Linked DNA regions of Notamacropus eugenii. The protein of the gene in region 3 binds, or shares a complex with, the protein of the main gene of each other region. Links are inferred from orthologs where the notes say so. Each region holds a gene or a part of one and is shown on either strand. Other genes may lie near its edges. The genes, in order: DCP1A, DAB2IP and MAP3K5.

The links.
Region 1: MAP3K5 (region 3) and DCP1A share a complex: the UniProt entries of both Homo sapiens proteins name them as parts of the cytoplasmic complex. The link is inferred for Notamacropus eugenii from reciprocal best matches to the Homo sapiens genes MAP3K5 and DCP1A.
Region 2: MAP3K5 (region 3) and DAB2IP share a complex: the UniProt entries of both Homo sapiens proteins name them as parts of the cytoplasmic complex. The link is inferred for Notamacropus eugenii from reciprocal best matches to the Homo sapiens genes MAP3K5 and DAB2IP.

What each region holds. Positions count from the first base shown.
Region 1 is NC_092874.1:478,411,203-478,421,672, reverse strand, and holds the start of DCP1A (mRNA-decapping enzyme 1A), read right to left. Parts: upstream 5,152-10,470; 5' UTR 5,097-5,151; coding exon 4,962-5,096; intron 1,301-4,961; coding exon 1,260-1,300; intron 158-1,259; coding exon 30-157; intron 1-29. UniProt on the Homo sapiens protein: Necessary for the degradation of mRNAs, both in normal mRNA turnover and in nonsense-mediated mRNA decay. Removes the 7-methyl guanine cap structure from mRNA molecules, yielding a 5'-phosphorylated mRNA fragment and 7m-GDP.
Region 2 is NC_092872.1:442,772,582-442,783,172, forward strand, and holds the start of DAB2IP (disabled homolog 2-interacting protein), read left to right. Parts: upstream 1-6,276; 5' UTR 6,277-6,815; coding exon 6,816-6,936; intron 6,937-10,591. UniProt on the Homo sapiens protein: Functions as a scaffold protein implicated in the regulation of a large spectrum of both general and specialized signaling pathways.
Region 3 is NC_092873.1:223,164,736-223,175,208, reverse strand, and holds the start of MAP3K5 (mitogen-activated protein kinase kinase kinase 5), read left to right. Parts: upstream 1-6,417; 5' UTR 6,418-6,742; coding exon 6,743-7,229; intron 7,230-10,473. UniProt on the Homo sapiens protein: Serine/threonine kinase which acts as an essential component of the MAP kinase signal transduction pathway. Plays an important role in the cascades of cellular responses evoked by changes in the environment.

The DNA.
Region 1 (10,470 bases), on a different chromosome or scaffold from region 3:
AATTGGAATAGAGGACCATTGGTACTCACGGCTGGCATTTCTATAAAGAAGAAACGGCTCATGAAGCTGGAATTCCAAATCTTTGTTCACTGGTTCCACGAGGTTTGTCATATTCAGCCGATTCACAATCGTGAAACCATGGAAAGGAGAAGCTGACCTTAGTTTTAACAGAGAAAAAAAGCCATCTGATCCTGGGGCATTGGATTTTTGTTCAAACTGCAAAAATGCCCACCCTTTCATTTCCATTGCAATCACTACATGAGCATGTTACACAGAATTATCTAGCAATGACTAGCCAGGGTGAGAAACATGAAGACAGCAGGCTTCACCTTCCAAAAGGGATTCTCATCAGCCTGGTCCTACGGCCTAAGACACATAGCCTAAGGTCTCACCACGGCAACATCTTACAGCGTCCCTCTGTGAGGGACGTCTTCTGCTGAACTTTGCATTACCACAAGCAATGGTTATAATAATGATATCAGGACTCTGAGGTTTATAATAAAGCATTTCTTCACATGAAGTAGAGGTGATGTGTTTGAAGTGATGAATTTTCCAGGACTGAGGAGGAAAGTGAGCCTGCAATGGGATCGCTCTAGACAGGAGTGCACAACTCCCCAAGGCCATGCCCTGGCTGGCTCTGTTGTGGCATACACACTATAGTTAAACAGTGACTTGAAGGCCAAGTGCACGTGAAGACCACTCAGGGACTGGGGACCTTTGTAACCTCATTAAGGCTTTCTGGGAAAACCAAACATTTCTGATCTGTCCAGAGTAAGCACCACCCATCCACACCATTCAGGGTAAACTAAGGCAGGTGATCTCCAACTTGGGAAAGAAGCCTGGATTTCCTCTGAGTAACTTAAACTACAACAGGACAAAACCAGGCAAATCTCATTTACATCACATATACTGACTCAATGTGTTTCAAAGAGGGCTTCTGAATGATACGAAGAAAAATAGAGTAAGCCTGCTATACGAGGGCTTTGTTCTCACTGAGCTGTATACTTGAGAACATACCAAAATACTGACTTCTTTTCTAGTTCTAATTTCACTGTGTCGGCCCGGTGGGCCCACACATTCTGGCTATTTAGTCTTGTTCCTTCAATGATACAGCATAGGACAGAATGAGGTAACAAATACAGGAGGAACCAAAGGGAGGAAAATCTTAATACCCTCCTGGAGCAAAGTCGTTACAGCCACCATGATTAAACTTTAAAAGGTAAACAAAAACTTGAGGTTTGGCATTTAAAAAATCTCACCTTCTGTATACAAATAAGGTCCCTTCTATGTCAGTTTTCTCCTGCAATGAAGATAATTAAAAAGACAGTTATATGGAATTCATTTTACTTATATAACCTACCTCTAAGTAACTGCTCATCATTCTACCAATGCAATATTAACATTGGAAAATCAATTTTGAAATGTCCTAGAGACCTCACTGGCTTTCCAAGGGATTTGTTTTCTTTTTAAAGGGTGAAAACTTGGATTGAAAGCTATTTTATTCATAATTAGATAATTCCTAATAAGATTATTCAAGCCAATCCCCTGGTTTGCTGTGGTCGCTGCTTTAGCGCACCACTCCAAGAGCATCTTCCCTTTTCAACATTTACCAGAGTTGGCAGGAAGAAGGGAATGTTGGCTTCTATACTGGGGGCAATTTCTTTTGTTTGGGGAGTTTTGCTCAAAACAAACAACTAGTGTCAAACACTTTATTTCTCCTTGTAATTTCTAGTTGTGATAAACATATTGAGACATATGCTTTTTAAAAAACAAAAACACTTACAGATTTTCAGTCAGCATGATGTGCTAAGAACATTGGCACTGTAAATCCAGTCTCAAGGACTTATCTGCCTGAGCCTCCCAGGGCCTCAGTTTCTTCAACTGTAAAACTGGGATAACAAGACCAAAGGGTGTAAAACAGAGGGAATCCCAGATTTCCTGATTTTACAGAGAAAGCAATGGGAGGCCCAAGCCTGAGGACAGACCATTGTAATTAGTTGTAATTAAAATGGAAATTTTACAACATTTTACTTTTAATAAGGTCAGTCCTTATTGAAAACCCACTATTCTTTACCATCTTTGCTTTCAAGAAAAAGAGCTTTTAGTTTGGACATAAGTACAATGTGAAAGTGGTAAAAAGTCCTTATGCATATTTTGTATGAAGAGAAGCCGTTGAATTTTGAGGTGACCTCCTTGATTTCTTACAGGTATACAACACATGTGAATGGAATTTTAATGATTTGTTTAGAGACTTAGCCTTTTTTCATTTTCCTTCTTTAAGCCAGAAGTCTTTAAAACTTTTAAGCTGAGACAAGAAAAACCCCATGAGATCAACTCTTTCAGAACAGCAGGAAGCATCTCCTTCAGTTTTCCCCAGTAGGAGCATGCTCCTTCTATCCCAGTGCTCCCCTTCCCCCATCACCCATGGCCTCCCTGAGACTCTCCATACTCTCCTACACAACCAGCTCGTCCTTTTGGGGTCTCTAACACCACTTGGCCTTCATCACCCTTCACTGGTACCAAGCTGCCCCTCTACCCTTTGGGAAGTGTTCTCATCATTCGATGTCTCCCAACATACAGTCAGGAAAACTCATCTTTCTGAGCTCAAATCTGGCTGTGTGACTTAACCTTGTTTGCCTCAGTTCCTCAACTGTAAAATAAGCTGGAAAGGAAATGACTGCCAAGAAAACCCCAAATGGGGTCAGAGAGAGTCAGACATGACTGAAACTAATGAACGAAACCAAGCCAGGGAGGACCAGTTCCCAAAAGCACCTGGAATCGTAAATACCCCAGCCAGGCTCTGCTGAAATAAAAGTGAGGATGGAACTAGCCAGCCTCAGAGAACCACAAGAACCTTCACTTGGTAACCAAGCTTTGACTCTTACTTATTCACATCAAGTTTAGAGATACTATAACTATGAAAGGAAGCAACATGGCTACATACTGCAATCCTGGCCACCACCAATGGGTCCCCAGTCCTTATAGCACAGAAGAGGAATACTGTATACCTTGAAGAAATAAAGGAGATACAACCAGGTGGAAGGAGGGTTTAAAAGCCATTTAGTAAAACAAAGTGTCCAGCTAAGATTCCTGCAACAGTGTTTTATCTTGGGATACATTATACAGGCTTCCAACACTTTGTTAGATCATTAGGAGGTCTGTAACATTACTGATACAATCAGCTGAGCAAAAAGTCACATAAGTTTGAAGGGCTGGTTTGAACCTTTAAAAACCACCCAGGAAGAACAGAAAACACATTTTAAAAATATTTTTATTATCTTTTAATTTTTTCACTTAAACTGATTTTCTCTTAAATCCTGGTAAAATAAAATGCCTAGGGATCAAACTGGGCAGATGGTTCCCCATTGGGTTCTCTGGAGCCTGGGCTCAGAACAAAGGAGTGGCCCTGGCCTTTAGGGAGAACATCAGGGGGAAACACTGGCTTGTTCATCTAAAATCCCCGCAGTGTTCAGAAATTATTCTGGGATGTGGCTCCATACTCCTTCATGCCCTACTCCCTTGCCCCCATGTCTTCTGGGCCACTTTGGGCCAAAAGGACCTTGGAAACTATGAGTCTTCCCAGACTGGATGCCCTTTGATGAGTCAGCATCCTTGTTTGTGAAGTCTAGGGCAGGCCCCGAGGACTTGAGCTCCGGATCAATCAGTCAACATTCATTAAAGCCTACTATGTGCCAGGCACTGTGTTACAGAGTGGGGATATAAAAAGAGGCAACAGTCCTGGCCTCAAGGAGCTTCCAACCTAATCAGCCTGAGTTTTATCGTTTACTAGGCGGGGAACCTCATGCTGACACTGAGAGGAAGCATTTTCCTTTCTTATAAAATGAGGAGAGAGCATTGGAGTGGGAGTCAAACCAGGGTTCGAATCCAGCCTCAGACCCTTCCTCCAAAAGCATGGGTGAGTCAGTCTGAGAAGCCTACAAAGACTTGGCCAACCTAAGTGTCAGAAGGGCAGGAAATCACAGATTCTTCACCAAATGACAAACAGGTGGGACCCTGGGGCTACATCCAGATCTGGAAGAGGCCTTAAAGGCCTTCCTTTATAGGGAAACTGAGGCCCGGGGGGTCAGATACCTGCCCAGGGAGGCACCCTAATAAGTGGGATGACATTCCTGGAGGGATGAAGTAGCCGCATGCCAACCTCACGACTCTGGGGTCCCCAAAGCTGGGGCAGATGTGAGCAGGGGGGTCACTAGCGGCTGTGCCGCAGGACAGGAGTATGTCCGCACGCTGCCAGCCAACAACTCAATCATTCAACAAACTCAACAAACCAAAGCCATTCAAAGAGCGTCCCTTAGGCAGCTCAGGAAGGAGACCCCCAAAGGGTCCTGGGCTTCGGACTTCAGACTTCGGCCGTGCCCCGTCGCCCATAACCGGCCCCCCAAACTCCCCCATACAGTGGGGGAGGGGCAGCCCCTCAAACTGCTCTATCTAGGCGTCCATCCCAACCCAGGGCAGCACTTCCTTACAGGAGATGAATGTAGAGGGATCTCCTCATTTTAGAGATGGGGAAACTGAGGCACAGGGAGAGGAAGGCGCTAGACCTGTGCTCCCATGCGGTGACTTGTCCTGGGTCACCGAAGTCGGCTTTGGTTAAGGCAGGATCTGAACCCAGGTCCTGTGGCCCTAGCCCCCCCATGGCGGGCCTGTATACAGTTGTTTGCTTCTCTTGATAGCTCCAGCGCCTGGCATACAGTGGGCGCTTCATACGCGCTTGTTCTTGGTGGCGCCTACTGTGTGCGCCGGGGGCTGTCTGCGCTGTCTTCTGACAGGGGAGGGCACGGAGGCCCGGGCAGGGGGCAGGACCTTCGCCCTAGGCCTGGGGCGGGCAGGGCCTGGCTCAGCGAGTCGCGGCCCAGCCCGGCGGCCGGCCCGGGCCTCAGTCTCCCCGGCCGCGGAATGGGCGCAGCGGCCGCGGCGGCGGGCCCGAGGGCGACACTCACCCACTGGTTGGCCTCGGGGCTGAAGGTGTAGAGCGCGACCTGGCCCGTGAGGTCGGCGATGCTGGTGATGTAGGGGTCGTGGCGCCGCAGCGCCGCCAGGCTCATCTCGGCCCCGGCTCGACTCCCCGCCTCCATCTTGGCCGCCCCCCCCAGTCAGCGGCCCGGCACCGGAAACTAGCGGGCGGGGCCTCCCATTCAAACCTCCGGGGCCGCGGCGCTGACGTCACGGATCACGCAGGCGCGTTGGCCGTCTCTGACGCCGCTGACGCCGACGCAGAGTGCGGGCAGCTCCCGACCCCTCCCAGGAGGAGGCCCAGCCTCTTCCTGTCCCGCCCTCCGGCGCCGGATCCTGCGTGACCAGCGCGCGCGGCGAGCACGAGCCGGTCGCCCGAGCATACGTCACCGGGGGCGCCCCTGGCGCATGTCCGTTGGGGCCCAAGTCTACCTGGGTGGGCGCCGCCTTGGGCGAGCGAGCTCCTCGGGGGCGGGGCTGGCTCCTTGCTGGGAACCTTGGGATGGAACCTGAGCTTCATGATAATGACGTAATCATGAGGAATGAGACCGTGGCCGCTGCGGCGCGGGAGGCTGAGCACGACGGCCGCGAGGGGGCGCCATGGCACGGGGAGCGCTGGCCCGCAGTCAGCAGGGCCTGAGTTCAAATCCATCCTCTGACGCTTCCTAGCCGGGTGGCCCCGGGCAAGGCCTTGCACCCTTTCTGCCTCAGTTTCCCCATCTGTCAAATGAGCTGGAGAAGAAAGCGACCAGCCCTGCGGGGAAACCCCCAGCGGGCGGAAGTCGTGCCCGGGGGGCGCCGCCCATAGGACGTGGTCATTGTCGTTCATTCGCAGCCCCTCAGCCCCTCCCCCAGCCGGGGTCCTCTGTGGGTCCCCCGTGGGTCCCCCGTGGGGCCCTCGGTGTCCTCCTCTCCCCCGGGAGGGGGCTGACCCCCGTGTTACTGCCCTGGGCCGGGCGGGGCAACGAGGAGGGTTCTACAGACGGGCAGTCCCGGCCATGCGTGACGTCATCCGTGCGGATAGTGGGTGGGGTCCCAGACCCCCCCACCTCCCCCACCCCTCACCCTCCTTGGCCCCAGGTCCGGGGTTCCAGTGTGGTTACTCCCCCTTTTTACAGAGGAGGAAACTGAGGCCGAACGTGCCTGACTCGCAGGCTGGCCTTCCTGGCCCGGCCCCCGCCAGGGCCGGTGGTAGCCCGGCTGGGGACAGGCCTGGACGAAACCGGAGCGGCTGCCCCTCATCCCCTCGGCTCGCTCCTCCGCAGGTGGGGGAGACAGCCCAGCGGGGGGCACTCCCAGTCCGACCCCTCGCCTTACAGAGGGAGAAGCAGAGGCCTCGGGAAACGCGTGACCTGGCCACGATGACGTGGCTGGCAAATCCTGGGGCCAGGATTCCACGTGGCCTTTGGGAGGCAGGGGGCAGGAGCATCTTGTGTTAGGAACAGCAGAGAGGCTGGGGGTGTGTGTGTGTCTGTGTCTGTGTGTCTGTGTGGTGAGGTGAAGCGGGGCAGGGGGCTAGGGATTGAATGCCTGAGGTTTTTCTGTTTGGTCCTGTAGGTAATAGGGAGCCACTGGGGTTTATTGAGTAGGGGGAAGAAAAAGAGGCCAAAAAGCAGGGACTGAGGACACTTGTCAACAGCTAGATCCTACTCTGGTCTTTGGAGCAAAGTGTTATATCCTGCTCTTTATTATTTGGAAGCTAAATGGATCTTACAGAGAAAAGGATTTCCTTGATATGCCTAGAAGCAGGACCAGTACAACTGCAGCCGGCCATGACTTGTCAGTTGAACTCACCAAGGTGACCCCCTGCCTTATAAGCGTTCCATAGAGTCGGAGAACTTCAAATGAGAAACATAATGATATTGAAGAACTGGGTGGTGATGGTCTCATCAGGCTGCTCTTTGATAAAGCCTTAGCTGGACTGGGTGAGTCCTTCAGGGCCCTTGTCTTACTGGCTAGGGAGGGAGGGGATAATCTTTTATGAAACACTTCCTGTGTGCCAGCCCAATATAGAAAGAATCTCAGCTGTTCAGGCCAAGTTTTCTGACCTCCTCCAATGCTCTTCCTGTTATATGACCCCTGAGAAAGTCTTACATACTTCTTGCCTCTCCAAACCAAGCCTTAAACCCTCTGGGCCCTAAGATATCCCTGGGAAAAGGTTCAAGGCCCTTATTCTCTGATCTGTGTTTGGGGCCACCTGCTTCTTTACACCAGAGTTGTAATCCAGATAAGGACTTGGGTGTTACAATGACAGTGTTGACCCTCTCTCTTCATGGAAATTCGTTCGGATCCTTAGCAGTGAACAAGCCTTTATTACATGCTTCACCTGTGGCTCCAAGAAGCTGTAGCATGTGCAGTGGCCACAGCACAGTAAAACCACCTTGGCAGGGTGAACCAGGTTGAGAGTGACGGAGGGGGCCTCAAACCCACTGATGAGTTAGGGCAGTGTCCACCCCAAGCATGTGAAGACTTCCCCTGCCAGAATGGGCAGATGAAAACAATTTGTTCCAGTGGCCATGAAGGTGGCTGAAGCAGGCACTGTGGAATGCTTAGAGGTTGTTCAGAAATGAAGATGCCAAGGTCACCCACTGCATCCTAGGCCATGCCAGTCATCCTGACTTTTGTCTTGTCATTGGACTTTGATGACTCAGGAAGAGAGTGAGGCTGACAACTTTGGGCAGCTCTGCCTCACTTAAATCCAATTCACCCATGAATCAAGACGCTACTCTGTAATGTCATTGGTCCTCTTGGAAAATGAAGGATGAACAAAAAGTTATGTTCTCAGCAGGCATTGTGCTAAGCACTAGGGATACAAAGAAAGGCCACAGCATGGTTTCTACCCTCAAAGAGCTCACAGTCTAATGATGGAAAGAAAATGCAAGTTACTGTGTACAAATCATAGTTATACAAAGAATAATTAGAAGGTAATCTTAGAAAGAAACTGCTAGCATTGTGTGTGGAGGGAGGAGGACTTGGAAACAATAATAGCTAATGGGGGGTGGGAGGGGAGGAAGGGAAAGAGAGAAAGAGAGAGAGAGAGCATGCAAGCTAAATAGTTATATCATTTTATCCTCACAATAACCCTGGAAAGCAGGTGCTATTATTATGATCCCTATTTTACAGATGAGGAAACTGAGATAAATATCTTGCCCAGGGTCACACAGCCAGTAAGGCTCTGAGGTCAGATTTGAACCCAGACTTGTTCTTCCTAACTGCAGGGCCAGCTCTCTACCCAAAGCACCATTAAGTTGCCTCCTACCAAAGGTGGCATTTGCAATTTTTCTGATGGATGAGTTGGGGCAGGTTAAAGGCTGGGACTGAGGCATTCCACCTCAACAAGGATCCAAGCAGGAACCACTTTCGCCTGTTCGGGGCTTGCTGTGTGTCAGGCACAGGTATTCAGAGCTAGAGATATCCACCTGACTGGCTTAGCTGCAGACAAACTGATCTTCTCTGGGGGGGTTGATCCCCCTAGGGTCATCCTGTTTTCAGGGTTTTGATCTACTTGCTTCCTCCTGAAAAACTAGAGTCTTAGGGGTTATTTTGTGATGCCATTAGGGAAAGTTCTCCAAGAAATACTCAACATGAATATTCAACAGAAGAATTAAACAATTATCACCTGCCAACTCGAAATGACTCTTCTTCCTACCCTACTCTTTCTTGGTAAAACTAAGTCAATCACTTTACATGCACCTGTGGGATACACGGGCCTCTTTCTCTTTGACTAAATTTAGTTTTTCTCCCACACAGTCTTCTGAAATAATTAAAGTGGTCTCTTTATTTTCTGCCTGGTTAAGCAACATCAGCAGATCTGGAAGAGTGAAGAACACAACTTATTAATAGCATTATTTACATTTTCAGTAGGAAATGGCTTCAAAGGAGAATGGGTGGAGATCTGCCCCTAGACCTGTCTAACAGCATTGAAAATTGTGAACATGAAGGTCCTTGTCCACACTGGGAATACTTGAGTAGCAAATACTGATCTTGATTCATGCTGAAACCTAAAGGTTCCCCCAAAACAAAATATGACCTTAGGAATCCAGGGACATTTGAAACTTAGAGTGTGACAAGTCAGAGGGAATTCATTGAACCAAGGAGAGGTTGAGTTGACTGGGGTGATAGAAATCATATTTTATCAGAAGCAGCAATCAAACCCAGGTCTTCCTGACTCCAAGTCCAACATTTTGTCTACTACAATGGAGAAGCTACCTCTTTTCCAATCCCATGGTGCAATGCTGCAGTGCCACCTCTCCCACTTATATAGAATTTTAATGTCCTTTATGTGCATTATCTTATCCTGATGCATTGTTAGGAAACCATATTTTCTTCCTTAATTATCTATGTGACCTTGGCCTACTCACTGGAATTTGCAAACCTCAGTTTTTTCATCTGTAAAATGAAAGGGCTGGACTAAATTCCTTGGGTTCCTTTAAGCACTATTCTATGAAATCTCCTTAGGATTCTTCTAATCTCCAGATATCCCTTATGTGTGAATATCTTAGGTATGTGTCTTTATACCTAGGATAGTGCTATATGTACAAATGTTGAAATAATTATAGGAAATTATCTAAAATATGTAGAGAAACTAAAGTTTTATACTACCAGAAATTTAGGCATCTAAAAGACTTAATCCTACCCTGGTGCCACTCTGCCTGGAATTCCTGTCAGCCTGCCTTTATCAGAAAGTCATTCTAGCCACCAGACACTAGCAGACTGAAACTCAGATAGCTTGGTTGATCCTGAAGAGAGGAGCCCAGAAGCTAGTAGGTGGGTAATAGGCATTTATTAAGTAGCAGGGAGCAATGCCCATACTAAGCAACCACCACAACACGAAAGGGGACCGCAGGCAAGGTGTTCATCAGAGGTGTCACACAGATAGGGAGCAAGTTCCATGAAAGCAGGTTGATGATATCACCAGAAGATATTGGCAGGGTATGTCTTAATACGTCTTAATGCTCTGGCCACATGTATTCCTCATATATGTCCCTTTCATACCCCATGCCCATTCTCTCTGCAGATGGTATGTGTACTTTTGGAAGTATGCCCTATGTTCATGGGGAGTGATCTTGTGTTATGAATTTTCTGATTTATTTGATGAAATGCCTTTATTTTTGAACTAATTGTGCCTCCTGGCTGACTAGAGAAAAAGTAAGCACATTGATGGGGGCTCATGAGTTATGGCTGTGATTGGGTGTGGAACCACAGTACTTTGATCTTAGGAATAGTTATTCTGGGGACCCTATGGGTTGAAAGAAGGTCGGTACAGCATGTTTATGGGGACAGACAATTCACTTCAATTTGGCACATCCCTGTCTATGAGCAATGTTTGGCATCCTTTCAGCACTGTAACTTTCATATTTGGTTACTTAATCTTCGTTTTGAAAGTTTTTCAGTAAGGTTCTCTGAAGAGCATTCTGTGTTCTCCAAAAATGGAATTTTTTCTTCCACAAGTAGAATGACAAACTCAGCCTTTTACCCTAATACTTGCCTCTCCTC
Region 2 (10,591 bases), on a different chromosome or scaffold from region 3:
ACGGGGACAGAGGATCTGTGTAGTTGTTTCCCCTTAGTCTGCCTGGCTTTGGGCTTCCCCTCAGCATCGGGAATCTTGTGATGTTCAAGATTTTCCAGACACTTATTATGTTGGGCAGATCCAGGGACATTGGCTCTTTTGAGGCAAGTCGCTTGACTTCTTAGGCCTCAGTTTCCTTCTCTGTCAAATGATTTGTGAGGTTCCTGCTGCCTGTATGGTCTGTGTTGTGTGAAAACTGTGAAGCTGTTGGGGACATAAGAGAGCTAGGGCTTGGGGAGGCAGGGAGCAGAATACGGAGAGGGGGATGGGGTGGGGAAGAAAGGACTGGTTCCTTTTTACTGAATTATTGCCAGATGTTGGCTTTTCTAATTCTTCAGGCAGGAAAAGAGGAAAAACCTGTGTCTTTTCAAAGAACTTCTGCTTCTCTCCTTGAAGGGAGCTCCCCCATTCATAGTGCCCCTATTACTATATGATTCTGTACCAGGGCCTCCCTTGTCCCAAACCCAGCCCCCTCAGGGAGAACAGAAAAATTACACCAGAGCTGTTCTCACTCTCAGGAAAAACAGTTCTGAGTCATTTCTTCTCTCTTCTTCCCAACTACCCTTTGCTCCTGGGCGTTGGGCCCCTTTTCCTTGCTTTCTTTATATCCTGCTTCAGTCTGGCTATTCTTCCTGTCTGGGAGAGGAGGAGGAGATGGACCTGGTGTTTGGAATGGGCTGTGGATAAATCACATGTGAATAATTGGGTTTTGAGGGCATGCGGATCATTTCTGATAGATCCAGAGCAACTGGCTGGTCTAGTCCTTGGCCAAACAACAGGGAAGACAGGGCACATTTGTGTAGTGTTCTCTTTTTCTTCAAAGAAAGGCAGATTGATATGGTAGAAAGATTGTTGAATATGGTATCAAATGATCCAGGCTGGAATTCTATCTCTTCTACTTATTACCTCTATGATCACGAGCAAGTTACTCTACTTTTCCTGGTCCCAGTTTCCTCACTTGTAAAATGAGGGTGGAGACATGGGGGAGGGGGGGTTGGGCTTGATGGGATCTAAAATTTCTTGCAGTGCTAATAGAAGACTTTCAAGTCCTAGACTGACTACTTCTAAGCTAGTGGGTTTAGAAGCTATGGGCAAGTCATGTAATCTCTTCACGCCTCTTTCCTCATATGCTGAATACAGGGGTGGAATGAGATGAAGTGTAAGGACTTTCCAACCCTTTATCCTGTGAACCCCTCCTGGAAGGAAAGGAGTGATGAGTTTTCAAGGAGAGGACAATGTAAAACCCCAAGGACCAAAGGGGTAGGTAATTATGCACTTCTCTGTGGATGAGCAGAGAGGATGCCAAAAGCTCTTTTCCATGCCTCTCTTGCCCCTCAGAAGACATGGAGGGAAGATGCCCAACAAAGTAGACTATGTCAGGCACATTTCAAGCTGATTCCCCATTAGGGTCTCAGTGGTCTCCATTAGGATCTGTTTCCTCATCTATAAAATGTGGGAGTTCGACTACAAGCTCTTAGCTCTGTTCCAATTCCAAATGTGTGATCGTTTTTTTGTCTAGGGATTCTAGGATTTAGGGATGCTGCCCTCTCTACCTGGGAAGTGGAGAAAGGGATGAGTATGAAGGAGTTAGAGTATAGGGAAAGCCGCCTGTCATCCAGCTGTGATCTCCCCAGCCTGACCTGACCTTGTCATGTCCTGCCCCCCTTCTCACTGACAGGCAGGAGAAGGGACTGTAAAACCTGGCCTGGAATATTGCCCATGGACTGAGATCTGGAGTGTTCTCATGCTTGGCCGGACTGAAGGCCACCTCATGAGCTCTCAATGTCAGGGTCCAGTGTAAACTCCCAAGGAAACCCCCCTGCTAGGTTACTGGGAGACAAGTTCTTATATGGTAAGAAAAATTTTAGTTCCTTTCAATTCAGTAAACAACAACTAAGCACTTTTAAAGAAAAAAGGCAGCTGGTGTAATGGACTGGATTTGTAATCAAGACACCTAGTTTTGAATCCCAGCTCTGTAACTGATTAGCTGTGGGATCTTGGGTAAATCACTTCAGCTTTGACCCTCTCTTTTCTCGTATATAAAAATGAAGAGTTTCTATCGAAAATGTCTGGAGTCTTTTCTATCTCGCAATTTTTAAATTCCATAATCTAATATTCCTACCTCTGTACTGGGCAGGTTGGGAGGCAAAGAAATACAAAAGGAGGTTCCCTCCTCTGAAGGAGATCAGAGACTATTGGGGGAGAATGGCTCTACCTGTAACCCAGATAGCCAGTCCTGTCCAGCAAGTATAGAATGCCCAATGAGCAGCACAGATGAGACACATAGGAAACCAAAGGAAGAGCACTCACTGTGACCTTGGGGTAGTGAGAAAAGGATGTGTGTGACTAGAGCTGGCTCTTAAAGGATGGGTATAATATGAGACGATACAGGCAGAGAAACCCAAGGAGTGAGAGTAGCAAATAGGTATGATGAGAAAGAGCAAGACATGTGTTGAATAGTTTGGCCAGCATGTATGGTGTGTGAAAGAGAATGGACGATAACAAGGTTGGAAAGGGCCAAGTTGTGGAGGGCTAAGGAATTTGACCTTTATATGTCAGACAATGAAGTGTCATTAAAGATTCATGATAGACAATGAGGAAAGAATACCAACTTTCAAATGCTCAAGGTTGGGTGCTTTTTTCTGAGCTTCAGTTTCTTCATCTTTAAAATGGAGATAATAATCTTTATGGACAGCTAGGCAGCTCAGTGGATGGAGTACTGGACCTGAAGTCAGGAAGACTCATCTTCCTGTGTTCAAATCTGTCTTCAGACTCTTAGTAGCCAGGTAACACTGGGCAAATCATTTCATCCTGTTTGCCTCTGTTTCCTCATCTGTAAAATGCTCCGTAGAAGGAAATGGTAAACCACTCTAATATCTTTACCAAGAAAACCCCAAAAGGCATCATGAAGAGTTGGATGGGACTGAAATCAAAGAACAGCAACAATAATACTCGTATTGCTTACTTCATCGAATTGTGGTGAATAAGATATTTTGTAAACCTTGACGTGCTCTAGAAATAGCACTCCTCCTGTTGTCACTCCTTTTACTCAAGAATAATATGAAAACCCTACTTTTCACAATAATACCCTGCCATCTTCTCAAGGATGGATTGGAGTGGGAAGATCCTGGCGTTGTGAGGGCAGCAAGAGAATACTGTAATAGTCCAGGAATAAAGGGATGACAACACCAACCATGGGAGTAGAATAAAAAGCATGGATTGTTTTTAGTAATTTGCAAAGGAACAATAGGCTGCTTGGCTACTGAAGGTGACAGAGCAGGACTTTTTCCACTATAACCAGAAAAGTCCAGTGGAAACAAGATCAAGACTGAATTAAGAGAACTGGGTTCAATTTTCATTTATCCTACTTATTAACTTGGGGAATAAATATTGGAATTAAAGCAGCTATCATGTCAGAAACTTGAGGATAGGTAGTAGGTTTTTGGTTTTTTTTTTTTTGAAAAGTGTGAATTATATAGGCATGAAAGGGGTGATAATTTGTTCTACTTTGGATTCTTTTAAAGAGACTCCTCCCCCCATTTCTTTTCTTTTGCTATGTTGTTTTATCATTGTCTACGGGAATCACCATCAGAATCTTAGACACAATCCATCAAGCTTTTGCCAAGTACCTCCTATAAATGAGCACTGTGGGAGTGCTGATGATACAACAACCATACTATCCTGCCATCGAGAAGTTTTGAAGTTGGAAGAGACCTCCAAGGTCATCTAACTCAGAGGTGTCCCCAGTGCCAGAACCAGATTAAAATGTAATTAGAAAATATATAACATTTTAAACAAAGTATAATATTTTAAACAAAATCAACATTTTGCTAATTTCAATTAATTAGTTAAATGTTGATGAATATTTAAACAAAATTTAACAAAAAAGATTAAAATGTAATTAGAAAATATGTAAAATTTTTGACAAAATAACAAAAGTCTAACAAAATTAGAAAATATATAACAAAATAAACAAAAGTACAATAAAATATAGATCATGTTAGCATGTGGTTTTCTAAGTCAATGTGCAACCTGCAGGGATTGTCATGTATGGTTTAGTTGCTCTTTCTCTCATTTCTATTTGAGTTTGACATCACTGATGTAGTCTAAACTCTTTAAGCACTAGTCTTCTCTCCCCTGTGCCTGACAGGTGATCACTTAGCTTGTGCTTAAATACTTATACTGATGGTTAGCTCATTACCCTTTAAAGCAACCCATTCTGTGGCAGGAAAGCATTCTTTGTTAAGAAGTTCTTTGTCTTTTTGAGCTGAAATCTACCTCTTTATAATTTTCTCATGGGTCCTAATTTTACAGATTAACTGGAGTGCAAACGATTTACTTCTTTATATATCTCATCCTTTCCTTGAACAAGTACCCTTTCCTGAGCCAGTGGGGCTGTTGGAAGATCCAGAGTCTAGCTTCTTGTCCCCTCCTTCTCCCAAAAGGCCAATAAGATTTTGTTTTTTCTGTACTTCCTCTCTAGTGTCAATTCTACCTGGGAATTGAGCTGTAGCCTAAATCTTCCTGCACTAGAGTATCTTAAGTATAATTGACAGACTGATCTGTCAATGATTTGTCATTGGCTACCTGTATAACTTTGGACAGCAGTGATAACAGAAAGTTATATTTCTTAGTGCTTTAAGGTTTACAAAATGCTTTTCCTCTAATTATCCTGAGAAACAGGTGATAGGTAGAAGCAGCTAGGTGGCAGAGTGGATAGAACACTCGAAGACCGAAGTTCAAATTCAAACTTAGATATTTACTACCTGTGTGACCTTGGGCAAGTGAGCACCTATCTCATAGGGTTGTTGGGGGATCAAATGAAATGATATTTGTAAAGTGCTTAGCACATAGTAGGTGCCTAATAAATGCATATCCCCTTCCATTCTTCTGGTACAAGTGTTATTTCTATTTGATATATGAGGAATTTACCACTTCTCTGAGCCTCCATTTCTTCCTCTGTACAGTGAATATACATGGCTTCCACAAGGGCCATTCCATCCCTGACAGTGCTGAGCATTCTTTGTTCTAGGATCCCTTATGCCTCCAACATTCTCTGTCCCAAGGTCTACTCTACCTTTTAGATCATTTCATGTAAGTGTGTATAGTGGCACTTAGTCGACCACCCATCAATCTGAAAGACAGTTAAGGCAGATTGAGAATACTCTAAATCCCAAGCTGAAAAACAAGTCCCATCTGGTTTGCCTGTCTATGGCCCTCATCCTCTCTTTACTTCTTTCCCTTGGATGTTTGCTTCCTTATTTCTGGATCAACTTCCTAGCCTGTGTGGTGTGCACACATTATTTACTCTGAACAGGCAGGGCAAAAAGGTCCCTGTGGGGTGAGAGTGGGGGTTGGTATTGTCTGACCCTTTGTTCATTCAAGTTCTAACAAAAGTTTTCCCTGTTTCATTGTACCTTCAAGGCCTCAGGCCTGCCTGCATGCATCACAGGATTTAGAGTTGCAATGGAGTAGAGACTTGAACTCAAATCTCTGACTCCAAGCCTAGTGTTTTTCCTACTCTGAAGTTTTATGTGTTTGTATGTATGTGTGGAAGTATGTATGTGTCAAACTTTCACAAGATTTGATCCTCAGCCTTTGGTTGGTGATCATGGTTAAACTCCAGTCTGGTTTCCCTCTAAAATAGTCATTCTGTGTCATGGGCCCCTTTGGCAATCTGGGAAAATCTAAGGATCCCATCTCAGAATAATATTTTTAAATGCATAAAACACATATAGGATTTTAAGGGAAACAATTATATTGAAATATGGTTATTAATTTTTATTTAAGTTCACTGACCCTGGGTGAAGAATCAGTTCACTCTCACCATCCTGCCTTCTTCTAAGCATTATGCTACAGACTATTGGACAGTCAGAGAGGCTTTAAATGGTTGGATCTGGAGGCTATCAAATGGAAGACCACTCTGGACTTGGGTGATCTAAAGTTGAACGTGACCTTAGACATCAGCCGTTCCTACTTTCCTCTATTTTTCAGGTGAAGAAACAGACCTCACAGAGGTAATGACTTAACCAAAGTCACATGGCTAGTAAGAAAGAAGTGTTCAAACTTAGGCCATCTGACCCCAAATACACTGCTGCTTTTAACAGATTGTGCTTCTTTTCTGAGTACCGTTCATATGTTTATAAATCTTAGAATACTGGGATTTGGGAGTTGGAAGGGACCTCTCTTGGGGAGGGATTATGAGAAAGGGAAGGATGATAACTGTTCTCCAGTAACCTTCCCATACCATAACAATCGTCTCCCTGGTATAGAATCCCTCTCCGTCTCCCCTTGTGGACATCACTCCAAGGGGAGTCCCGTTTGACCAAACTCATTGTTTCAACCAACACAATAATCCAGTCCGGGATTTCTTCCAAACTGACTTTCAGGCTACCTACTCCCCCCTCCTCAGTCGTCACCCCCTTCTCATTCAACTGGGAGCCAATGCCAACTCTGCCTTCCTCTTTCCAACTCCAACAGGCTTATCGTTGGAGGAAGAATTTGTTTCCACAGTTTAACAGGGCAGTTAAGTTAAGCAAGCAGGGGGTCCAGGAGCTCTACCTCAGAGAGGCTGAGATATAGAGCAAGACCTCTCTGTGGTTCTCAGATTGTCCTCGATGCCTGACTTGGACGTGTGCCCAGGGCTCAGGGTTCTGTCCTCCTCATCCCCTGGCCCCTGGCCCCTGAAGAGCTGGACTGGATCCCTCCACCCCTCTGGGGGGGGGCAGCTGTGAAGAAGGGCTGGCAGCTAGGGGCTCTCTAGGAGGGGGAGCATTATGTCGGCCGGCGGCAGAAAAAGTGCTGGGAGACCATCCTACTACTACCGGCTGCTGAGGCGATCCCGTCTGCAGAGACAGAGGAGCCGGTCGAGGAGTCGAAACAGGCCAGCCAGCCGGGGTAATAGAATTGGAGCTTGGCTTCTTTGCCATCCCTATCCTGAAACCTCCTTCCCTCCCCAGCATTTGCTTCTTCTTTAGGGAGAGCTCAGTCTTCATTCTTTCTGTAATGACCCCCTCTGCTCCCCACAATCTGATTGGCAGCTGCTTCAAAAACTAACACAATGGGTCTCTGTCTCTTGAGGATGGGGGTGGGGGCACAATACATTACGCTGGGCTGGGAGTTAGGAGACCTGGGTTCAAATCATAAAATTAGAAATAGAAGAGGCCTTAGATTCTATTCACTCAAAAACCTTTCTTTTATGGACAAAGAAGAGTTGAAGGGACTTGTCCAAAGGCATACTGTAATCAATATCTGTGTTGGGTTTTAAAACTAGAAGCTTGGACTTCAAATCCAGTGTTTTTCTTCCGTGCCCACGTTGCACCTGCAGTCAACTCATTGAATGAACTTGGGAAAATCCCTTAAAAGCCACTCTGAACCTCAGTTTACTCATCTATAAAAATGAGTGGATAGGGCACGATTTTGTCTACCTCCAAAGTTCTAGGACTCCTTGATTCTACGACTGGTGTTGAGAGAGCTGGCTGGAGGGGACACCAACATGTGTAATTCTTGGCTGCTTGTGACCTCTGAGGTCAATTGTTCAAAACCTCTCTTGGCCTCAGTTTAGTGGTCTGTGGTATGAAACACAAAAGAAGGCAAGGTGGTTGATGATCAGCTAGTTTAGGGTAAGTCGTCTCACCACATCCTGCTACTGGGATCCCACTGTTTTGATTACTATTTTCTCTTTTTCTTTTTTTTTTTCCCCTTTACCCTTTACTCCTCAGTCCCCTGGAGTGGGTAACCAAGGGAAAACCTGGATGATTTCCTTAGGGAGAGAGGCATACTGGTTAGTGACATTTCACCTGTAATGAATATGGTGAACTAAAGAGAATGTTGGCCTAGAAACTGAAGTCTGATTTGCCATTCACTTTTTGGTCCACCTTGACAACATCATTTGACTTCTGTTTCTTACCTGAGGGATGAAAAAGTTGGAGTGGATGGCCTCAGAGGTCATTTCTAGCTCTAACATCTCCTAACTCTGTGTGTGTATGTGTATGTGTGTGTGTGTGTGTGTGTGTGTGTCTGTCTGTCTGTCTGTCTGTCTGTCTGTGTTTGATTGACTTCTGGAGGGCCTTGCAGAAGGGAGGCATGAAGTCATTCCTGCCCTTGTGGAGGTGGCTGGTGGGGCTTTAGGGAGATTAATGGCTGCAAGGTACCCCCGTTTGACAACCCCGACCCCCAAATCTGGGGCAGAGATGCTAAGATTGAGAGTTTAGGAAAGTTTTCTTCCTGGGCATTATACATACAAGTTTTTTTCTCACTAGTGGACAGCTGGTGATGGAGTGGGAAAAGGGAGGAGGAACCAGGCTTTCTTTTTTTCCAGTAACAAGATCCTCATTTTCAGCACATGTGTGATTCAGACATTTATCTGGGGGGGTGGGGCAGCAGGGGGAAGAGTTGTTGGTCTTCCTTTTCCTGGGGCTTAATTGAGGAGGGAGATAACCTGGAAGGCCCAGAGAGGCCAACTTAGAAGAAAGGAAAGGCTGTGTGTGTGTGTGGGGGGGGGGGGGGGGGTGTTTGTGTGTGTGGTGTGTGTGAGTGTGTGTGTGTGTGTGTGTGTGTGTGTGTGTGTGTGTTTGGGGGGAGTGGGGGTGGAGAGAAGGTGCCAGAAGGGGGAACAAGGTTCAAATTGTTTGTGCTTTAGTATTACCTCTGGAAATAACAATGGGTACAGTGAAAGGTGCTGGCCTGGGAATCAGGATACTGGAGTCTGGTTTTGGTTGGGCTATAGTTAGTTTGGCGACCCTGGGCAAGTTTCTTTTCCTTCCTGGTTGCCTTAGATGATCTCTAAGATCTGTTCCAGCCCTAATATTCTGTGTTCTAATGTTCCATGTTATAGAGGCAGCAGGGTGGAGTCAGGAGACCCGGCTCTGATATTACTAGCTTTGTGACCCTGATCAAGACTTTCAAGTTCTTGGAGTTATGGGTCCCATGGGAATGATCACACCTGCATCACATTACTAGTTTGTTGTGACTAAAGTGTTTTATATACCTTAGTACATATAAATGGGAGCTATTGTTACAGCCTGACATTCTGTGTTCCAAGGTGCCTTTCTACACAAACATTCTACATATTCATGAATTTTGGAGGTTGGAGGGCTGATGCCTCCCTGGCAAATCTGGTAGAGAGATATTTTTGGGAGATCTTGAGATCAAACTGTAGAGATGCACTCTTATTCTTTCTCAAGGGAAGGCTTTGCTGGCTCCTCTGAGTAAGGATATCAAACTCTTGTGATTTTTTGAGGCCCTTTTGCCTTTTTCTATTTTAATCTCTTTGAGATACAGACTAGTAGTGATATTGCTGGATCAAAGGATATGCAGAGTTTGATTGCTCTTTGGGCATGGTTACAAAATGCTCTTCAGAATGGTTGGATCAGTTCACAACTCCACCAACAGTGCCATCAGTGTCTCAATTTTCCCACATACCCTCCAACATTTATCGTTTTCCTTTTCTGTCATATTAGTCAATCTGATAGGTGTGAGGTAGTACGTCAGAGTTGTTTTACTTTTCTCTAATCAATAGTGATTTAGAGCATTTCTTCATATGACTGTAAATAGCATTGATTTCTTTATATGAAAACTGCCTGTTCATAATCTTTGACCATTTATCAAATGGGGAACAACTTGTTTTCTTATAAATCTGACACAGTTCTCTATATATTTGAGAAATGAGGTCTTTGTCAGAGATGCTTTCTGTAAAAATTGTTTCCCAGTTTTCTGTTTTTCTTTTGATCTTGGTTGCATTGGTTTTATTTGTGTAAAACTTTTGAATTTAATATAATCAAAATCATCCATTTTATATCTCTTAATGCTCTCTCTGTCTTGTATGGTCATGAATTCTTTCCTTCCAGATATTCTTTAAGGTCTAAAATTTATAGCTCTAAAATCACTCAATCCAAAAGTTACTTAAATTCTATAAAATCTTGCTTTCCTCATCTGTAAAATGGGGATAGTAAAACTGGTGAAGAAAGTGTTTTGTAAGCATCAAAACATCCTAGAAATGCTAGCTGCTATCAGAAACAAGAAAGCCTAGGAATTCTTATAAGGGCATAACTGGCCTATCTCAGGACAACTGATCATAGATTGAAAAGCCATACTCCCTCCTTCCCTGTTGGCTAATGCCCCCTTCCAATGCTTGCCTTTGTGTCCACTCATCTCTCCAGGGCACCCACCTTCCAGTTTAGCTGTCTTTGGTGAAGATGGGATGGTAAGCCAAGGCTCCTGGGAGGAGCGGGTGGAGTTGCTTATAAAGATGTGCCTGGCAAGGTGAACCTGGTAGGCAGGAGAGAGAGGAGCACCAAGGAGGAGAGGGGTACGGATCTGTAGTAGCTATCACTATGTTTTCATATAGTGACTGAGTCACTGATTTCAGTGTCATCTTAGTGAGCTCTAAATCTGGAACTTAATGTGTGACCTTGGGCAAGTCATTTTCTTTTTCTGGGCCCAAGTTTTCCCTCTATAAAATGAGGATAAAAAGATTGGCTAGAAGCTTCTTCCTAGAGGCAGAGGGGTAGGAAAAGTGACCAGTAATTTCTGAGATACTCTTTCCCTACCC
Region 3 (10,473 bases):
AGGTAGCACAGTGAATAGAGCAGTGGGTCTGGAGTCAGGAAAATCTTAGTACAAATTCAGTCTCAGATATTTACTATCTGTGTGACCTTGGACAACCCTTAACTTCTATTTACCTCAGTTTCTCATCTGTAAAATGGGGACATACTGGAGAAAGAAATGGCAAACCATTCCAGTATCTTTGCCAAGAAAACTCCATGAACAGGGTCCATGGGTCTTGTAGAGTATCACACAAGTGAATGACTGAACAACAACAGAATGAAAAGTGCCATAAAAAATATGAAAAAATATAAGAGAATATAGTAATACCTATATAAAGTGAATACAAACTAATTTCCGTACAACCAGAACCGTTTACATACATGTGTATATATATTGTATGTATAATGAATCTAAAGATAGTGAACTTCAGATGGACCTGGAAGAGGACTTAGGAAAAATCTTTTGCTTATTTCTTAATTTATTTAGTTCTGCTTTGTTAAAGGCGCAACTAAGTGATGTAGTGGATAGAGTGCTAGGCCTGCAGTCAGGAAGACTCACCTTCCTGAGTTCAAATCTGATCTCAGACACTGACTAGCTGTGTGACCCTGGGCAAGGCATTTACTCCTGTTTGCCTCAGTTTCCTTCTGGAGAAGAAAATGGTAAACCACTCGGTATCTTTGCCAAAAAACCAACAAAAACTATGTTAAATGCTAAGGGTTTTATGTAAGACAGCATTCACTGTTTTGTATGCTTTGTGGTCATTGTTTATCATTTTAAAAAATAGCTATATCATGTATATATATATATTGTTCTGTGGACAGAGAGCTGGCTTTGAAAATAGAAAGACTGGATTCAAATCCCTTCATACTGACTATGAGACTTAGGGCCAGTCACTTAATCTCTCAGTGCTCTAGGAAGTCTAGGTACCTTTCTAAGACTATATGAGTTGCCAAGAAAGTGTCAGTCTGCCCTCTGGTAGAGGGTGTTTCCTCATCTGAGCTTCCCTATACCAATGATACCTCATATACAGATGACCCTCAAGTCTCTATTTCCAGTCTTGACCTCTCCCCAGAGTTCTAGGCTGGCATTTCCAGTTTCCTGCTTTACCTTCATACTTGGATATCCCTGGGTACCTCCGACTTATTAGTTCTAACACTATAGTCATAACTGTCCCTGTCCTTCTCCCCTCACAGACCACAACTTCCTTTTGATTTCTCTTCCACTGATGTCACTATCTGCTAAGTTGCCTATGCCTCAGATTCATGGAGTCATCTTGATTCTTCCTTCTTATTCATCTTCCAAATTTTAATCAGTTGGTAAATTCTGTCCATTCTTCCTTTAGAATATTTCTCTTACCTTTCTCTTACTTATGATTCCCCCTTTTAACACTATCTCAGACCCTCAGGAAGCCAGTATTTATTAAGTGCTTTAGACGTGCCAGGCACTGTGCTAAGCCCTGGGGATACAAAGAAAGACAAAAAACTCAATGCCTTCTGTGCCCTTCTCTGTTCCCTTGTGTGTGCCTGTGTCAGTGTTTGTGAGGCCTCCACAGTAACACTAGCACATCATGGATCACACCTGGCCCACTCCCTCACATCCTGAGCTTATCCAGGACTGGGGTGAGACACTATGAGAACTGTAGGAGGTGAATGCTTGGTTTATGGTGCAGCAAGAGCTCCCCTTGCATGTTACCACAGTGTTCTAGCCACAGCAACATTCCTGCTTCCTGAGCCCACTCTTGCATTCTGAATCACATTCCAAAGGTGGAGTGTGTGTGTGAATGCACTCTCTTTCTTAGGTTAGTGAAAGCTGGTATATAAGGACTCAGCTATGAATATGTGTCAGAAGACTTGACTAAGGGAACCCTTGTTCGTGTCATATCATATGTCGATGGCTTCTGTGCATTGGATTGTTTCTCTAACAGAGTGGATTGCCCCCATCTTTACCTTCATAGGTAACTTCACGGTATAAAGCAAAGTCACTCAGGGGTATGTGTATGAGTGTGTGTGTGTATGTGTGTGTTTATACACATATGCATATATGTATATAAACTATATATTCAGGATGTCCTGAATTATCAAAGAGATGTATATGTACACACATATGTGTATATGTACATTGTATGCATACACATATGCATGTCTCCAAAAAAGATGGTCAGTGATAGAGTACCTGAATGACACCACATATAATAACCATTTTTATTTAGGAGGAGATGTTTCCGATGAAAATCTTCAAAAGAAGTTTGGAAAGAGCCTCAAAAGGCTATTTAATGGAGACATCATATGCCTAGGAATTTTATGGCTTTGGTTGAAATGATGATACAGTCAAGTGAACACCTAGAAAAGCAGCATGACATAGATAAAATGTTGGACCTGGAATCAGAAAGGCCAGAGTTCCTATCCTGCCTTGGACTCTCAGTAGTGGTTCCCTGATTTCTAGCGGCAACTACTAGAGGTAGCTAGAGGGGACTGTGGATCTAGTGCTGGCCAGGGAATCAGAAAGACCTGCACTTGAATCCAGCCTCATTTACTAGTTGAATTTCTGTCTGCTTTAGTTTTCTCAAGTGTAAAAGGACGATCATAATACCATGAGATAACATTTGTAAATTGTTTAGCACAGTGCTTTTAACATAGTGAGTATTTAATAAATCCTTTCTTCTTCCTTTTTTTCTTTCTTATGTCTTTCCTTTCTCCTTTCTTTTTCTTTTCTTTCCTTCCTTTCTCCCTTCCTTCCACCCTTTTTCCTTCCTTCCTCACTCCTCTTCTTCCTCAATCCCTCCCTCTTTCCCATCTTTGTCCCCTTCCATCCTCTTTTTTCCTTCCTCCCTCCCTTTTTTTCTTTTCTTTCATTCCTTCCCCCCTTTTCTTCCTCCCTTTTTTCCTTCCTCCCTCTCTTCTGGATTTTTTTCCTTCTTCTATTTTAAACTACAGTTGTACTGTAGTCAGTTTTTAAGTTGCTTGTTTGAATGCTTATTTACCAATATTTATTGTAGTACATTACCCATTATGTGTAGTGAGGCTGGAAGATATGTAGATTTTTACATCCCTAAAATATTATAGACTAGTAGTTTGCTCAGAGAATACTATACTAGGTTATACTTGTCCATAATTTTTTCATTTTACCTTTAAGCCGGTTTAGAATACTTCCTTTATTGTGGCACGAGGCTATCAGATTTTAGGAATTATGACTGAAGGTTCATAGTAGAAGGTTCATAGCTCTTTAGTAAAAAAGGGATCAAAACCCCCCTCTCATCCAGGGCCAGTGCTGTTCTATCACTTGGTACCCAACTGAACAAAGAGTAGAGGGACCCCTTGGGGCCTCTAGAACCCCAGGCCCAACTTAGAGTCAGTAAACTACATAAGCATGGAACCAGACCAGTCATCCCACTCCATTTTAAGTTACAGACAAGGTGTTATGCCCCCTCCCATACCTGTGTCATGTAATAAAACTTTTATTGAACCAATAAATCAGAGGTCTGAACTAGGTGTGGACAAGGAAGACCTTGTCATTTTTTGTGGATCAAACAATCAATGAAAGGCTTTAGAATAGGTATGAAAAGTCCTCGATCAACTTAGAAGTGCTTGAAATTCATTGTATGAAATGGAATGTATGAAAAGGAAGTATATTTAGATTGATTGAAGAGACTTGGTTATGCCCTGTGGGTTTTCTATAGAATAAACCAGATTTGGAACTCAAGCACTGGGACATCTGTCTGCTTAATGGTTAAAGTTCAGCTAACCACAACCCTGGGAAGCTCTTTAGGTTTAGTCTCAGACTCTTCCCTCCCACCTTTTCTGGTTGAAGGAGAATCTTGGGGGCTTAGAAGGATCCAGAGGATTTGGAACTTCCCATGAGCATCCTCGCAGAGTCCTTGCTACAGCTAGCTACAGTCTACATCAGAAGCCACAAATTAGATGTAGGGAAGAAATGATGTTTCTAGACTATAAAGAGGCAGAGCAGTTAGGTGGTACAGTGAATAAAGCGTTAGCCCTAGAGTCAGGAGGACCTAAGTTCAAATCTTGCCTCAGACACCTGACACTTATTAGCTGCTCAAACCTGGGCAAGTCACTTAACTGGATTGTCTTATGCAAAGACTACCAGGAGTCCAGGAGAAAGCTGTTATCACTCCATGCCTAATGGGATGGAAACTTCATGAGCACTCCTGGAGAAGTGATGGGGGAAATGAGGACTTTCCCCAGTAACTCTGAGTCATCTCTCTCTCTCTCTTTATTCCAGACCTGGCACACTGAAACACTTAGCTGCCCAGTACTCCCTTCTAAAAGTCTAAAATGGGTGGCTCAATGGATACAGAGCTGTTCCTAGAGTCAGAATGACTGGCCTCAGATACTTACTAGCTATGTGATCCTGGGCAAGTCACTTTTGTGTGCCTCAGTTTCCTGATTTTTCAAATGAGCTGGAGAAGGAAATGGTGAACCACCCCAGTATCTTTACTAAGAAAACCCCAAATGGGGTCACTGAAGAGTCAGATACAACTGAAAAACAACAGAACAAACCGATAGTTATAGGAGAAATTACAAAGGTGGAGGCTTGTGAGCTGTTGCTTTAGAAAGACAGACCCCTACCCTTCACTGCCTAGATTTAGCAAAGGAACTTATCAATTAGTATAAACTTCCCCAATTTTACTAATGAAATTGAGAGAGAAGCAACTTAATCAAGGTCACAAAGATAGAAGCAGAGATGGTATTTGAACCCAGAACCTCTGACTTCAGATTCTGTGACAAACTGGACCATGGGTGAGGAACAAGGTTAAGTGACCCTCCAATGCCTTTCCCATGGTCAATGGATACATTCTATATGTTCTATGTGGGGATTAGCTGTGCTACTAGGTCAAACTCCTGGATAATTTACAGCATAATAGGTATTCCCTCCCCTCTTTAGAGCTAGAGTGTCAACAGGCACATGTTAAGTCTTAACTTGAATGAAGACGTTATTCCATATCTTAGGATTCCTTGGGGAACTGGGGATCTTCAGACCAAGGGGTACCTAGCCTTTATGTAAAAATTAGAGGAGAGGCAGCACAACAATTGAATGTATGAGCTGGAAAGGACTTTAGAATTCATCTAATCCAAGAGGTTTTAACCAAAAGTCTTAAATCACACACACACGCATTAATAATTTTAATGTAATTGATTTCCTTGTATGCTTTTTATTTTATTTATCTAAAAAACATTCTGAGAAGGGGAAGGGATCCACCTAGAGGCAGCTAGAGCTCTGAGCCTGAAGTCAGAAAGAACTGAGTTCAAATCCAGATTTAACGACTTACTAGTTGTTCAAACCTGGCCAAATGCCTCAGTTTCCTCAACTGTAAGATGGGGATAATAATAGCATTTATTTTGCAGGGCTGTTGTGAGGATCATTTGTAAAGCACTTGTAACAGTGTCGGACACATAGTAGGCTCTTAATAAATGTTTATTCCCTCCCCCCCCCCCCCCCCATCCTCGCATCGGTATTTCAAAAATGAGTAGGAAAGACCCCAGGACCACCTCAGATCTTTCACAAGCTAGTCCCGGAGTCCAAGCTCAGATGTGTTACGCACAAACCTCGGGGCCAGACAAGGCTTTCCGCCGCCTCGGAGCTCAGCTCCCTTTGAAATCAGGGCCATGGTTGCGCAAGCCACGAGTTCTCAGGCCAGGCAGTCACAGCTTAAACAGGAGAGCAGAGCTAAACAGAAACCAGAGGAGGGCGCCATGGCCGCGGGGACCGTCTCATCAGACACCAACCGCAGCAAAAAACGACTTTAGCAATGGCAAGAGAGACTTTTTGTACGAGCCCCCCGCAGTTTGAAGTAACTGAGGGCTCGCGTAAAAAGCCTCTTCTGAGGTAGGTAGCTGAATGGTGAAAACCAGAGGCAACAGACAACCTCTAGCTGAGCACCAGTCCTGTAGACTGACCTAGGGAGCGTTGATGACCGGTAGCACCGTCGCTTTCACCTCGGTTTAGGGCTTCCCAGCAGCGCCCGCCCCCGGGGGTTGGCCCCAGACTCTCCGGGCTCCAGCAAAGGGGCGGGAAGAAGGCAGTTAGCAGAGGGGACAAGCGGCTGGAAGAAATCGCACGCCTCCAGCCCCGCGGGCCGGCGCTTAGACGAGGCGGCCGCCACGATCGGAAGAGAAAAGAGGGAAGGGGAGGAGAAGGAAGCTGCAGTTGACTGGGGAGGCGGATCCTCTCGGCTGCGGCTTCTGGTGTGCGTGTACAACGCTCGGCAATCCCCTTCGGTAAGGTGCCAGCCAGGTGACTCTCCCGAAGGGAGAGGAAACCCCCGTGGTCCCCAGAGAGCGCGCCGCGGAGAGGAGAGCGCACGCCGCGAGAGCAGCTGGCGTTGCGTTATGGTGTCAGTGGCGCACGGAGTCTCCGGAGCTTAGAGCCTCTTGGCAGCCCCGTGGCACAGGTCTGCTAAGAGCCCGGCCAGCCCTAGACAGGGAGGAAGCGCTTTTTTTCCTTCTCGTCCAACAGCTTATTCCTACCCCTTCTATTCCGAGCCTTGCATCGAGCTAGAAACACCGCCACGGAGGCGCCCAGGAGGGGAGAAGCGCCGCCGGGTAGCGGCGTCCCTCCGGGAGACAGAGCGCCGGAGAAGAGGCGGCGCCGCGGTGGAGGCGGCGGCGGTGGCGGCGGTGAGGGCTCAGCTCGAGATGGCAGCTGCCTAGCCCGGCGGGCGCGGAGCAGCCCCGAGCTGTGGCTGGCGAGACGGGGCGGCTGGGGGGTGGACCCCACCGCGGCCGCCGGAGAGCCCCTGGAAGAGATGATCGCGGAGGATAGCGAGGGCATCACTTTCCCCGTGCCCCCGTTCAGCCCCCCGGGCTTCTGCACCTTCCAGGAGGGCGGCAGCGGCCGAAGAGGAGGAGCAGCAGCGCCTGCAGCTGCTGCTTCAGGAGAGGGGAGTCAGCTCCCACCACCGCCACCGCCACCCGGCAGCTTCTGGAATGTGGAGAGCAGCGGCACCTCGGCCGCCTGTCCAGGGGGGATCTCGATCGCTGCGGTGGCGAGTGGGCCCCCGAGCGCCCCCCGAAGTCGGGGCAACTCGACTGGCGCTGGCGGCGGCAACCGTAGAACCACCGTGGCATATGTGATTAACGAAGCGAGCCAGGGGCAGCTGGTGGTGGCGGAGAGCGAGGCCCTGCAGTGTCTGCGGGAGGCGTGCGAGGCGGTGGGCGCTGCACTGGAGACCCTGCATTTTGGCAAACTGGACTTCGGGGAAACCGCGGTGTTGGATCGCTTCTACAATGCAGGTGGGCGAGATGGGAGCCTTCCTGCGGCTCTTCTTCCTCCTTCTATGGGTGCTCTTTCCTCCTCTCCCTTCCCCCACTTTATTTTTTTCTTTGCTTGAGCAGCTCCCCTCTTCTGGTCTGTATCCCTGTACCGAGAGAGTGCCTAGTAGGGTGTTAACATATTGAGTGTGGCAGCACTTGAGAAGGAACGTTTCTCCTTTCCCTGGGAATGTGAAAGAGGGAGTCCTCTTTTCCTCTCCTCCCAGGAACTCTAGGATCCTGAAGTTGTGCTGAGCTTAAGCCCTATACCAATCTTTCTTCTCCCTGGGATTCATATTTAGTCTTTTCCACTCACCTCTGTCCCCATCTTTGGTGTTGATCTCACCATTTCTAAGGGTGCGTGTTTGGTACTTTCAGTTGACGGTCCCTCCTCTCACCTCCCTTTTTCTTCACTAGATTTTTAGGTGTCTCATTTAGGTTTAGAGTATGAGATAGAGAACAGGCTTCAGAGACAGTACCAACCTGGCTACATGCACTTTGTCTTAAGACTGATTTTTCCTCCCAGTCTTATTTTACCTTAAGTTTTGATGACTATAATTCAGACACCCCACTTACTTGCATTTTCTAAGTTTGTTCTCTAGGGCAGTAATGACATTGTAACAAACACTCAAGTTCTCTATTGTCTTTGTTACATTGTTGGAGGGAAAGAACCCAGTGTTTTGCCAAACTGTGTGTGCTGTATCCTGGGACATTTATCAATTTACACATTGTTTAAAACGTTAATGACTTTCTTGAGAGCCCACATGAGATCAAGTTGAACTATAGGTAATTAAAGCAGTTGCTCCCATAATCCCTTCCAAAAATAATTTTATTGTACTGTTCTAACACCTGCTACAGTAGTTTGAGAGGTGGGGAATTTGTTTAGCAACTGAAGCAGTTTGCCCTCTCTTGACAGATAAGCTGAAACATTCAGAATATTTTCAGGAATGTACGTATGAAATTAACCTCCTGTGGCCCTTTGAACATCAGTACACTGTTGAGCATGTCAAACCATATGTTTGCATTAATGTAACTGGGTTAAAATCTGATTGAAGCAATTTCAGTGCAGTAAGCATCGAGTGTATGTGCTTACATAAAAGGCTTTAGATTCTGGACTTGTTTTCAGGCCTGTCTTTCCATTCAGGCTCTTCAAAACACCTGAAGGGTGGTTATGTCAGTGTTGGAATTCAGCCATGGCTGATGTCTCAGTAGTTCAAAAATAAGGAAAAGAACTTCATGTTAGGAAAGACAGACTAAATAAAAGTAGGTCTTTCTGGTTCTGGTATTTGCTAGAGTGCTGGCCTGCATAACTGAACATACATGTCATGCATTATTGCTAGCTATCTGAATTATGTAAACCTTAAAAAAAAAGTAACTTTTATTTGGAGCACAAAATTTGGAAAATAGTAAAGAAGTAACCAAAAATAGTGCAAATCAAGGAAAGACTTTCTTTGCTATATTTAGTCTTATTGCAGTATTAGGTGGATTTTTAAAAAGTTCCTACTTTATACTCTCTGGAAGCTTAACTCCTAAGTTAATTGGAAACACGGTCTTAATAAGATTATTTTTACTGCTTATATTCTACCAAATACTGATTGATGGTTATAGTTGCCAAACACAAAGAAACTGCACCCATTAGCGTTGTAGACCTATTATTCCCATGTGGAATCTAACAGTGTTTCTCTGGGAAATTGTTCTCATAGTTTCAACTTGGGATTTTAGGAATGTATTATAAATGGCTAAGTTAAAGCTAGAAGGGGACCTTTGCTTAGTTGTCTCCTCATTTGACAGATGAGGAAACTGAGGCTCAGAGAGGCTAAAGTGTTTTACCCAGTGTTGCACAGGTGGTAAATGGTAGAATTGAAAACAATAAATAATCCCCTCTGATGCTTTAAAAAAAAAAATCATCTGTCTTGAATTTGAAAGTTGAATCTGCAGAGTTAAACAGGTCCAGCAAAGGCGATATAATGGCTATGAATTAAACTGCAGTGATTATTAATATAATGCTAATTATAACTTTGAAGTAGTTTATGAAAGTGCAAATATGCATTGTATTACTCTTAAAGAATGGCTGTATTTGAACAAATGTATTGGGAACTTCATGTTTTGGAAAATTGGAGAAAAAATTGATGGGTTTCCTTTTACTTGCTTATACAAATATATTCTTTGAATATAGGGTCTGATTTTTAAAAAGATTGTTGGTTTTCCCCCTATGAATATTATTTAATTATCCTAATTTTTAGATCAGACTTTGGAAGGGGCTTTTTTTTTAACTATTCTCAAACTTGTGCGGTAATTTTAAGAGGTACAACTTTCACTTTTTTTGGGAACAAGTATCATCTTACAGTGTCATCTGTATTCTTTCCCAACATCTTCCCTGCCAGCATTTAAAGTTCTTTCATCATTATTTCCTTTCTTAGCTTTTGTGTTGAAACTCCTGCTATATTATTGGTTTCATGGAAATTTTCCAAATTTACATGCTTAAGAAAACATCGCTACAGAGACAGGAAGTGCCATGGTAACAAACATTTTATTCAGTAGAATTCAGTGAATAGTAAGAAATGTCATACTTTCTCCTTATTCATGATGTCTAATTTACAAATGGGTTGCATCCTAAATTATTCAACAGAGATTTAGCTAGTGCCTAGCCTTCTGTGTATAGAGTACTATGTTATGCCCTGAGGAAACAAAATGTTTAGACGAGACCATCTTGCCATTAGAAGTGTCCATTAGAAGTGTTTATATTTTGTTTCTAGAATTTTTTTTTAGAATTTTGATTTCATTTGCCATTGAAAGAATGTTATAAATGGCAAACCCATTTCTAAGCAAGACTATATGTATGTATTTGAAATATAGAATCCAAAAATGTTTCTATGGAAAATTGGTCTAACTTAGTAACATATTATCCCTTGCCCCGCCCCTCCCCCTACCCTAGCTCTAAGCAGGTGTTTCCCTAGCTCTATGCCACAGGTCATGACTGCCTTGGACTGGGCGAGGACTGACTCATGGGGAATGGGAGCTAGGATGGGAGGGGAATAATGGTAGGGAGGTTGGAGTGGTTGCAAACTGACAGAAGTTTCCTTTTTTTCTCCCTGTTGCCTCCTCCCAGGATACTCTTGAAGAACCACCCAATATAAGCTCCTTGGTATATTTTTTGCCCTGCACTGGCACCCTCTTCCTATTCTTTTCTGCAGTGAGTCTCAAGGATTCAGTCACTTGCTTTCAT